Linked DNA regions of Caenorhabditis elegans. The protein of the gene in region 2 interacts with the protein of the main gene of each other region in a pairwise test. Each region holds a gene or a part of one and is shown on either strand. Other genes may lie near its edges. The genes, in order: Y105C5B.19 and fbxa-171.

Evidence for each region.
Region 1: the proteins of fbxa-171 (region 2) and Y105C5B.19 interact in a two-hybrid assay, tested with the Caenorhabditis elegans proteins (one large-scale study listed by BioGRID).

The regions. Positions count from the first base shown.
Region 1 is NC_003282.8:15,980,951-15,986,121, forward strand, and holds Y105C5B.19 (Major sperm protein), read right to left. Parts: upstream 3,021-5,171; coding exon 2,358-3,020; intron 1,810-2,357; coding exon 1,672-1,809; intron 1,624-1,671; coding exon 1,390-1,623; intron 1,328-1,389; coding exon 1,231-1,327; exon of another isoform or gene 1,227-1,230; intron 1,142-1,226; coding exon 1,051-1,141; intron 1,006-1,050; coding exon 898-1,005; intron 852-897; coding exon 728-851; 3' UTR 625-727; downstream 1-624.
Region 2 is NC_003283.11:17,562,567-17,568,105, forward strand, and holds fbxa-171 (F-box domain-containing protein), read right to left. Parts: upstream 3,438-5,539; coding exon 3,121-3,437; intron 3,078-3,120; coding exon 2,997-3,077; intron 2,658-2,996; coding exon 2,033-2,657; intron 836-2,032; coding exon 644-835; downstream 1-643.

The DNA.
Region 1 (5,171 bases), on a different chromosome or scaffold from region 2:
ATTATTTCATTGTACACCTTTACACTTAAACCAACATTGTGAAAAAGTACTTGAAGTATTTTTGAATTTGACGAACTCTTTATATGCAAAAATGGCGCATTTACTATATGTTCAAACTTTTTTTCCAACTATAAAAGTGAAAAGAGCTATAAAAAATGCTAAAGTACTTAAGGGCACTGAAATCTTTTTAAAGTTGGAGTTGAACATCATCTGAGCCGATGATCTCTGAGATCAATAAATTTAATTCATGTTGATGCTAACAGTTCCAATAAATGAACACCATGAAACAATTTTTATAGATTTTGTGCTCAAATTTGAAGTGAGCAACAGTTTTCTGCGCAGTAAAATTTTCACTGTTGACCCAAAACTATTTTTTAAACAGTTATTATTGATTCTTTTTAATTTATATTTAAGTAATATGCGACTCTACAAATTGTGGCTGGAAATATAGTAGAAAATCTCGAACAGAGCCAAAAATTGCACGGGACTGCAATTTCACAACAAAAACTTTTTACTATGGGACTAACATTTCATTTTAATTTTAGCTCATGTTTCACAACACATTGAAACAGTAAAAATTTGAAATTTTCAAATTATTGAAACCTTGAGAACTATGAGAGGAGCGCTGGAAAAACTTTTATATAGACAGCTGAAATGTTTTTTTTTCAGAATTGAAATACATAAGTTAATAGAAAAGTCAACAAAATATAACAATTTCAAAAACAAATTATTCCATTTCCACTTCCTCTTCGTCATTGAAAATTTCTGATTTTATACTTCCTTCTGGGTTTTCTTCGTTTACCTGATAGTTACACATCATTTCTGAGCCATTTGGGAAAATTAGTCGGGATCTGAAAAAAATTATCGATTTTTATAAAACTCAATGAAATCACAAACTCTTTGAGCTCTCCATCCTCCTTGCGGAGTTGCTCTCGGAGCCATCTTGTGGCATCTTCACTTGCTTCGTTTCCATACATTTTGTTGTGGCGGCCTCTCACACGGTCTCTGAAAAATAAATTTAGTACTGAGCCCTGAGACAGTAAAACTCACAACTTATTGCCCATAACGTCGGTGACCAGCTTCCTCACTCGAAACTTCAGGTCTCGCGATTGTTCTTCGCCGAACCCACCGAGTATGTACTCTGGAAGAGGAACATGGTTTTTTTAATATTAAATTTCCTACTGTTTCAAAGAATTTATAAATTTTTGGTGAAACGTGTGGAAAACTAACCAGCAAACCCTTCGAAAAAGTCCCTAGCGATGGGAATATATGTAGAAGCGTTTTGTGAAGTTGCGTAGCACATCATATGGGGGTCCGCAATGGCAACCTTAAATTTTTGGAGTTTACGCAAGATTCTATAAAGTCTACGCAAGACTCCACTAAGCATACCTTATCGAAAACCGTTCTCGCCAGAGCTCTCACAAGAGTCACCAAGTTAGCCGTCGACCAATTCGACACATCTCCATCCGTCACAACATCGGAAATCATGAACCATTTCCTGCTGGGCAACGTCAAAGCTCTGTCAAACTTCTCGGCTGAGTCAATTGAGAATGCCTTGTTCGTTGTGATCGGTTCCGTGATTTTCTCCGCTTTTCGAGAAATCTTCCTGTGCTGCTTGTTTGCCTGAAAGCGAATTTTTTTTAATTTTCGAAACTTTTGGAAATTGCTCACCATCGCCGTAGTGAAAGCCATTCCAAGTGCCATTTCCTCCATCAAATTCTGATTTTGTGTTCGACACCGCTTGGCGAAATTGAGCCATTCGTAGTAGTCAACATCACGGTCATTTTTGATGAGTTTCTCCAGGTTTTTCTGAAAAATTTGAAGATTTATTTGGCAGGGCTAAGGTCTTGACTACAATGATGTACTGTAAGCAACTGACATCTTACGAGTTAGACTGCAAATTCCGTGGTGGGCCCGTAAAATGTCGGCTGCTAGCAACAGCAGTTTTAAAAGAGTCCACGGGTAATATTTTGTTCCTATAAACAAGCCGACATTTCACGAGTCTCAACATTCAATATTGTTCTAACTGGGCCATTGTGGTGTCGGCTGCTATCAAATTTCAAGCACTTGGATTTCAGCTCCCGACACTTTGCGAGTTTCTTTAACAATACTGTAAAGCACCGACTTCTGCTTCCGTTCGTTCGTTTTAATGTCGGCTGCTAGCAAAAGCAGTTTTAGAGGAGTTCGCGGTGAGATTTTGTTTCTACAAGCAAACCGACATTTCACAAGTCTCGCCATGCAAACTCGTTATTCTAACTAGGCCCGTGCAATGTTGGCTGCTATCAGATTTCAATCGTCTGAACTTCAGCGCCCGACACTATACGAGTTGCTCTAGAAATAATCCCCTCAAAACCTACCTCACAAGTCTTCCGATCCAATGGTTCCCCTTTCGCATAATCGTACAATTCGGAAGCAGCGAATCCAATCGGCAACCACATCCCATGCTTAGAGGCCTGAAGAAGGGGTGCCGAAGATGTTTGAGCAATTGGAGATGAGCTGTACTCTATCGGAAGGGTCTTACGACGAACCATCCCATCTCCATCCAACCAATCACGACAGAACTGCTTGGTGGATCCTTCAGACGTATTGGTCCATTCGACAGTGATACGGTCATTTGTGGTATCTACTTGTCCGAATGCAAAAGCATCGCAGGAAATTGTTAGAAGAATCTCCTCACTTGGATCGAGTACTCCACAATTTGGAGTGCACATCGTATCAACTCTGAGTCTTTTCATATATGTATTGATTCCATAAGCAATACGAAGAGCCGAAGTATTGATTAATTTGATTTTAGATTCTTGGTTTTCATTGTACGGAGCATTGAAGATGATTTTGCTCGGTTGGAAGTCAATTTCTCCTGGTGGAAGGGATTGAGCCATCACGGGGGAAAATTCTCGGGGTCTTTTAGGCTCAAAATCCTGGTAAACCTTATGTTCGACTGGAGCAACTAGAAGATCTTCCGGTTTTTGTTCGCATAGGAGTGGATACGGAGCAGGTCTTTTTGAAGCTCGGCGGGACATCTGAAAATTGAATTTTTTTTAGATTTTGAGCGTTCAAATAAAATTCAAAAAATCAATAGTGATAATCGACGTGGTGTCAGGTACACACATTCGGTTTGATCTACGAAAAATGCGGGAATATTTATTCATAAAAATTGTGACGTAAGCACGCTCTAAACCATGCAAAATCAGATGATATGTCTGCGTCGCTGCTCCCACATTTTTTGAAGGTCAAAGCAAAATGGGACTTTCTGACTAGCACTCGTTTTTTTTAAATTAAAAAAAAGATTTGAATTAAAAAACCGCGAATTTTCAAAATTAGTGAATAACAATATAAAATTCACGAGAAACAAGAAACAACACAAAATAAAAACCGATAAAATCGAAAACGTCACCGCACGGGAAGCATTGTTTGCGCGCAATGCCTCCCGCCGCGAGTTGAGAGACCGAATTAGTGTGAGAGACGCAGGTGGTGGTAAGAGAAATGACGAGAGACGCAGAGAAAAGGAACGTTTCAGGACAACGGACGTTGGTTTACGAGAGGGGGGTTTGGAGCGTTTTTAGTGTTTATTGATTGGTTTTGATTAGAATTTTGAATTTTTCGAGCGTTTGCCCCACAACAAAGAGATGGCAAATATTAAAAAAAAACTGTTAACTGTTAGAGAAAACATCTACTGTTTAAACAACTAAGCATAAAAGAAAAATTAAAATAAAAAATTAATTAATTGAAAATACTGTTTCAAGTTTGTATTTAATATTGATGTAACTTTTTTAAAATGCTGGGGAAAATAAAAATAATTTCACTTTTTCAACTGCAAATCATAGCTCCAAGAACAACTTGACATATTATTGGACTGATAATCTGTTGTTTCGGGAACATTTGTTAACGTTTATTTTTTCAAAGATAATTCCCTATAAATGATTTTTAATGAAAGAAAAACGCGGAAATCCTATAATTTGTTTTGCATTTCGAGAATTGAAATTACAGTTTCAAGTAGACTTAAAATTACTAGATAAATTTGATCATTCAATAATGCTTTTAAGTTTGTCGAAATTTCGAAGAAAAAAAATTTGTGAAACTGCTTAAATTTTCAGAAATTAATATTATAAAACTGACTAGTTTCATTATTGTTCGTGTATTGGAAATATTTGAAAATTAGCTTTTACTGCACTGATTTATATCTCATATAGGTGAGTGAAACTCGGTAGATGTCGGGCGCTCATATTTCGTTAGCGTTAGGCGTTCTTGAGAAACCCCACAAGTAATGTGGAATAATGTGTTGATTATCGGGTTTTTTTTTCACTGTTAAAACGACTGGAAAGGTCGAAGGATCTATCTACTAAAAATAGTTACTCAAGTTTTTCTTTTGAAAACCAGTTGAAACATCTCTGACAAAATTCAGATTTCTTTTCTCAAAAAAGTGATTTGAAATTTATAAAATAATTGATATTTCTAGAACACATTAAACAACTTTATGAAACTGTTTTTGGTGTAAAATCATTTTAAATGAAGGAAAAACGGAAAAATCATATAATTTTTTACGTTTCGAGAATTGAAATTACTGTTTCAAGTAAGAAATAAGATTTCAAGAAAAGTTTACTTATTCAATAGTAATTTAATGATATGACAGTAATTTAATTCAATGAAAAAAATTGAACCATTTTCCTTCAAAAATTATCAAACTTTTCCACAGTTTTCGAACTTAAACTACTGCGAAGCCTAGCGCGCTTGACGCGCTAATCTACCGTTCTAACTTTATAAAATTCATAATCAGTAAAATTTATGAAATAATCAAAATTTTAAAGAATAAGTATTTTAAAATGTTATATTAGATACCTTATCTGCTATTCAAAAGAATGAATTGAAATATAAATAAAACGCTCCCAAATATTTTAAATGCCATCTGCATTTCGATCAATCTAGCAACAGTTTAGGAAGTTGTTTTTTATTCATGAGCGTTCAAAAAAAAATTGCGGTTTTAGAAAGTGGACAAACGGGTATTTTCATATACATATTGATGATTGAACGAAAATGATATTTTTGTAATTTTAATTTGATAGCTTTCTAAAAATGGGAATTTAAAAAAACAAATGAAAAAAAAATAATTTGATGAAAAACAAATCCATGAACAAATTAAAAAATTAATTGCTACCAAAACACACTGAAACTTT
Region 2 (5,539 bases):
AATAGCCACAATTTCCGTTTCAATTAAAACAATTATTATTTCTGACTGCTTATCTTCTGAAAATTAATAAGTTTAAAACACAAATATTTCAAGACCAATATTCCAAGTGGCTGTAACTATACCAAACAGTCAAATTGCAATCCGCGCGTGTATCCTTTATGAGCATCTTCACGGGAAGATGCTTACAGTGGCATATAGAAACTTCTGCGACAAAGTTGGGAATGGTGTCATTGAATTTGAGTCTTTTGAGTTTTGGTTTAATCAATTCCAAACTGGGAATCATGATTTGAGATATGATATTGAGTAATAAAAAAAACAATGATATTTGGACTATGGTTAAACTTTAGAAATTCAGGAATGCGCTTGAACCTCGTTCTTTGGCAGAAATCACTTCTACAGCCATGGCTTCTGGTGTGCTTTAGTAGAGCTGTAAGTCTTGTGAAGGTTGTAGGGAGTAATTGGGATATTCAGATCCGAAAGCAAATCAAGGAAATGTTTGGATGGAGCTCAGAGCAGCATATTGTCCAAATTCGATCTATTACAAGCTGAACAGTATTGTTTATGTACTGTTGAAAAATATATGTATGATTGCTACAACATAAAAGAGTTAAAAGTTATTTTATAAAAATCCGAATCGATAAAATTATATTATCCGTTTAACTTGAAATGAATTAGGAGTAATTTTCAAAAGGAATTTTTTGTTGTGTCGTGTGTAATTTATTATCGGCCATTGATTGCTTTGATATCCTGGTACGAATACATTTGCAATTTCAATTGGATCGAAGTCGTCGGATTCGAAGTTTGCATATTTGAAAGTGTCGGATTTCATCAAAATCTGAAACTATGTTAATTGTTTATACTTGAAGCGTAAAGTCTGCAGCAAATGCCTAAGCCTAAGCCTAAACTCCTAAGCTCAAGAGTAGTATAAGTCCCACACGACACCCCCATCCCACACCAGACCCCCCTATTGACCTCTCCCAAAATGGGGTGTCCATCTATGGATGTCCATTTATGGATGGCCATCGTTTTTTATTGATCTGTTTTTTTCGTTTATCATGGAACTGTTTTTTATTAGGAAAAAATGTTGTACTGTATGGGAGAAAATCTGAAATTAAAAAATATTTGAAATCGAGTATGTGGAATAAAATGTTTTCATTTACACTTTTAATATGTTTCATTGTGCACCCCTCCTCTCTATTACTCCGCCCCACTGCACAATCGAAAATCTCATAGTCAGTCTAAAGAAATTTAGAACATCATTATCCAAGTTGACACTTTCACGACAACAAGCCCCTACACTGAAAGTCATAACTCCTGGCCCTTCATATGGAGCTTGCAAGAAAACTTAGGTCATCCGAAAGCTGTGTGCACTATTAAAGAAATTTCTTTAGAATGAGTTTTTTGATTGTGCAGTGGGGCGGAGTAATAGAGAGGAGGCGTGCACAATGAAACATATCAAAAATGTAAATGAAAACATTTTATTCCACATACTCGATTTCAAATATTTTTTTAATTTCAGATTTTCTCCCATACAGTACAACATTTTTTTCTAATAAAAAACAGTTCCATAAAAAACGAAAAAAAAAACAGATCAATACAACAGAACAATAAAAAACGATGGCCATCCATAAATGGACATCCATAGATGGACACCCCATTTTGGGAGAGGTCAATAGGGGGGTCTGGTGTGGGATGGGGGTGTCGTGTGGGACTTATACTACTCTCAAGCGTGAGCCTAAGTCAAAAACTTCAGACTTAAGCTTCTTGGTGACCTATACGTCTCTCTGTGAAAATTCGCGTTGATCGGCCAACTGGAACCCTCTCAAAAATTTTAAAAAAAAACGGGAAATTCTTGAGCCTAAATACCGTCAGTGGCGAGCGTTAGATTGGCAAGCGTCAGCTCGCCAAGCCTAAGCCTGAGCCTAAACCTAAGCCTGAGTTTAGAATAAGATTATGCTTAGAACTGACCCTAAGACTAAACCTAAACCTAAGTCTAAGCCTAATCCTAACCCCTGAACCATTCAAAACTTACATCTCGAATTTTAATCGCATCATCTTTTGCGAAAAGATCCACAGTAACGTCAAAATAAGCTAGATGGAAGAACTTTTCAATGTTCATGGAGCAAGTGTCACTGTCAAAAATTAAAGCTTTTGCATTTTTCAGCTGAACTGTATCCATTAATTTTGTGCTATGGCCGTCTGTAGAAGAGGCAAAAAAGTGAACAACTTCGAGCGTTTTAGGCTCGAAGTACGGCAGGATTGCGTCGATTTCTTCGTTTTTCAATTCACAAACTAGTTTTCGGACTCGTAATTTGTTCATCGATCTCAAGACGTTCAATACATCGTTGAAAATGTTTTCCCGAATTTGCTCAGACATTTGTGCTTCAAAAAGTACGGAAAATGTTCGTGCGTCTTTAGTCACTACTGTATTGAAATCTTGAAGCGCTATTTTCCGATAATCTGTTCCTTTGATTTGAATTTTTCTGTTCTCGTAGATAATTGTGCATCCGTTTGGTACTGGGCAGTAGTTGACGGTTCTTTCGTTCAAAAATAGTCTTGCTTCATCTTTTTCGAAACATATTCCCATGGCGTTAAAATGAAATTCTTGTTGGTCAATTTTGTCACGGAGAATGCGCGAAACTTTTCTGGCCACGAATCTTGAAAAATTTTGGATTGAAACCATATTGACTTTTAGATGAAATTTATGCCATTTGAGAAATCGTTAAAAACATTTTTGGTCAAACATTTGTTTTAATTGTTTTTTGAAAACTTCCCAAAATTCATTTTTTCGGAGACATTTCAAGGTGTTTCTATAGTTGTAAAACTTCATAAAAAGACGATGAAAAAAAATACTTTGATGGAAAAACTCATCTGAATAATTCATATCTACTTTATTGCTACAATTTTTGCATAAGGACCTTTTTTGAATTACATGGGGTGTGTATAGAAGTCTATGACCACACGGTAAATATCATACTTTCTTTATAAAATCTCACCTATCGCAAAGTTCCATTTTGGCACAAATTTCATTCCAAACTTTTTCCGGCATATTCTGCAGGGAAGGTTCTTGTGGCTCACTGAAAAACATTAAAATTTTCTGTAAAGAAGCTTAGCACTTACCCATTAAAATATTCGACGAACTTCCTGCACCACTCTTTTTCGGAAATTTTGTGTGGAACGTCTGATGGTGGATTGATCGAGCAACGCAGATCATTGGAATTTCGTACTTCAATCTGCCTATTATCGTCCTGCAAGTCATGATTACCATTATAAAATCTATGAAACCAATATTCAAATTCTTTGTAGGCAATCTTCTCCTTCAAGGTGTTGCAAATTGTTTCATAGGCTTCATTCACAGTCTTTTTCTGGAGCACTTCGTAGAAAATACAAGATCGAATGAAGGTTTTGGAGTAAGGTTTTTGAGCGGTGGAAGTCATTTTGATATGATGCGCGCGGCAAAAAAATTACATCAAAATTTTAGACTTAGCAATATATCTTCACCGAATTCTTCAGTATTGACATTGGAGTTAGAGGGCACTTGCACTGCTGGAGAGTTAGTCAGAGAAAGGAGAACAGTCGAGCATGTTGTTTCGCAATAAAACATTTTTTTTTGTTGGGTTTATATGTCCTTCAGCAATTGCATTCTTGAACTGGCCTAAATAAGATGTCCTTGCAGATCCGGAAACAAACTGAGGGGAATGGAACTCTGTGCAACTACTTGCTCCACCTTCATATATTTCTAGCTGATGAACTGTAAAATAAATTTGTTTGTATTAGTTTTACCAACGTCTCTTTGACACTCGCCCATTCAAATAGTTACAACACCCTGTTCCATCCTCAGGGTTTTTCAGGATTTTCAAATTTTCGGCGATATGGGCCTACCGGCAAGCTTTTTCGAGATTTTTCCAGATATTAATGGTGTACCAATTTCCCAAACATTGAGTGGAAATTCCAAAAAATGGAAGACGATTGTTATAAGAAATGGTAAGAATATGATCTTAGTTACATTTTTGCGCATATTTCATCCCAATGGACGTTCTTGAAAATTTCTCACAATTTTCTGAAACAAACAAAAGATTTCAAACATTTTTGTGATATATTGCTAGCCACATTCGTCTAATTTTCCAAGTCACATTGTTCCAGTTTTGATATTGCTAATTTGGTAGACCTAATTCTGGTTTGATTCCTCAGTCTCTCTAGTCTCTTGGCGTTGTTGTATACGAACTGATATTATCTCCTCTGATCAAAAACCAAGTGTATTTGGCGAAAACACGCAATCCAAATAGGGATATAAATACGAAGAGAAGAAATTACCCCAAAAAGATCAGGCAAATCTACGGCAAATCAGTAAAGACTTTTTGTATTTTTCGTGGTTTTACTTCTCGATTTCAATTCAATTTATTTTTTGAAAGACTATTTTAAAGTGGTTCCGTCTATTTGTTTTTACATATGTAGTTTGGCTTTTGATCTTCTCCTTTCTAAAAATTGTATTCAATATTATGAGTTACTTTCCCTGCATTTTTCATTAAAAAGTATGTATTTGCCGCACATTCTCCATTCGTTCGACTTATCATCATTTTTTCAGAGAACATGAAAAAAGAATTTCTGCAATTCTTCAGTCTCTTTGTCGTACAACTTCGTTTTTATCTCCCGTGTTAAGAAAGAGAATCAAACAGAAAAACGCAAACAATAAAATTGATTTTAAAAAAACCGCTGTGACAACTCGTTTTCTCATAGCGCGTTGAAAAAATGCTTCTCGTTGTAATAGTTTATTCCAATTTAAATTTTTTTGATTTAGCAAGAAACGACTTTCTTAGTTCGTTTTTCAGATTATCCGAAAAACTAAACATTAGTAAAAATGGATGATCAGCTTGAAAAAAATTTAGAAGTAGGAGAATGGAAAAAATGTGAAGAAAAAGCAGAATCTCCGTGAGTTGTTTCGCAATTTTTCAGCAGAGTGAATTAAGTTTTTGTTAATTTCAGAGTTGGGAACCCTTTTCTACTTCATTATGATCACTTAAATCTTTGTGTTTGAATGCAAAAACACTGTTACTAATTAAGAGCGTAGTTTTTTAGGGAGGACCAACTAATTATGTGGGGATGCAAATTACACCAATAATTCCCAGGTGAGCAAAAATTCTTACATTAATACAGAAACAGCTGCAGTTCTACTACAATGGAACAATCAGTTGTTATATATACCGTATATTCTCTATTAGTGTTGTCGATTCAGCCCTTCGAGGTCAATCTCGACAACCTTTTTAACAGTGCTCTGATATAGGTTTCTACGGAATAGCCCACTATTCTTAACCTATATCAGCTCGACCGCACCGTTGAGCATTACTCCAATTATTATCTCTTCATTACATTTTATTTCATTCAAATCCGTTCAGTATTCGCCGAGATATAAATATATCTATAAATATTCGTATTCAAATCACGCGCCAACACCTTATGGTAGCGCGCTCGCGGCGAGACCCACGCGTCTCTAACTTCTTGGCATCGCGCCAAGTCCACCGACCGCCCGCGGGGAGTTCGA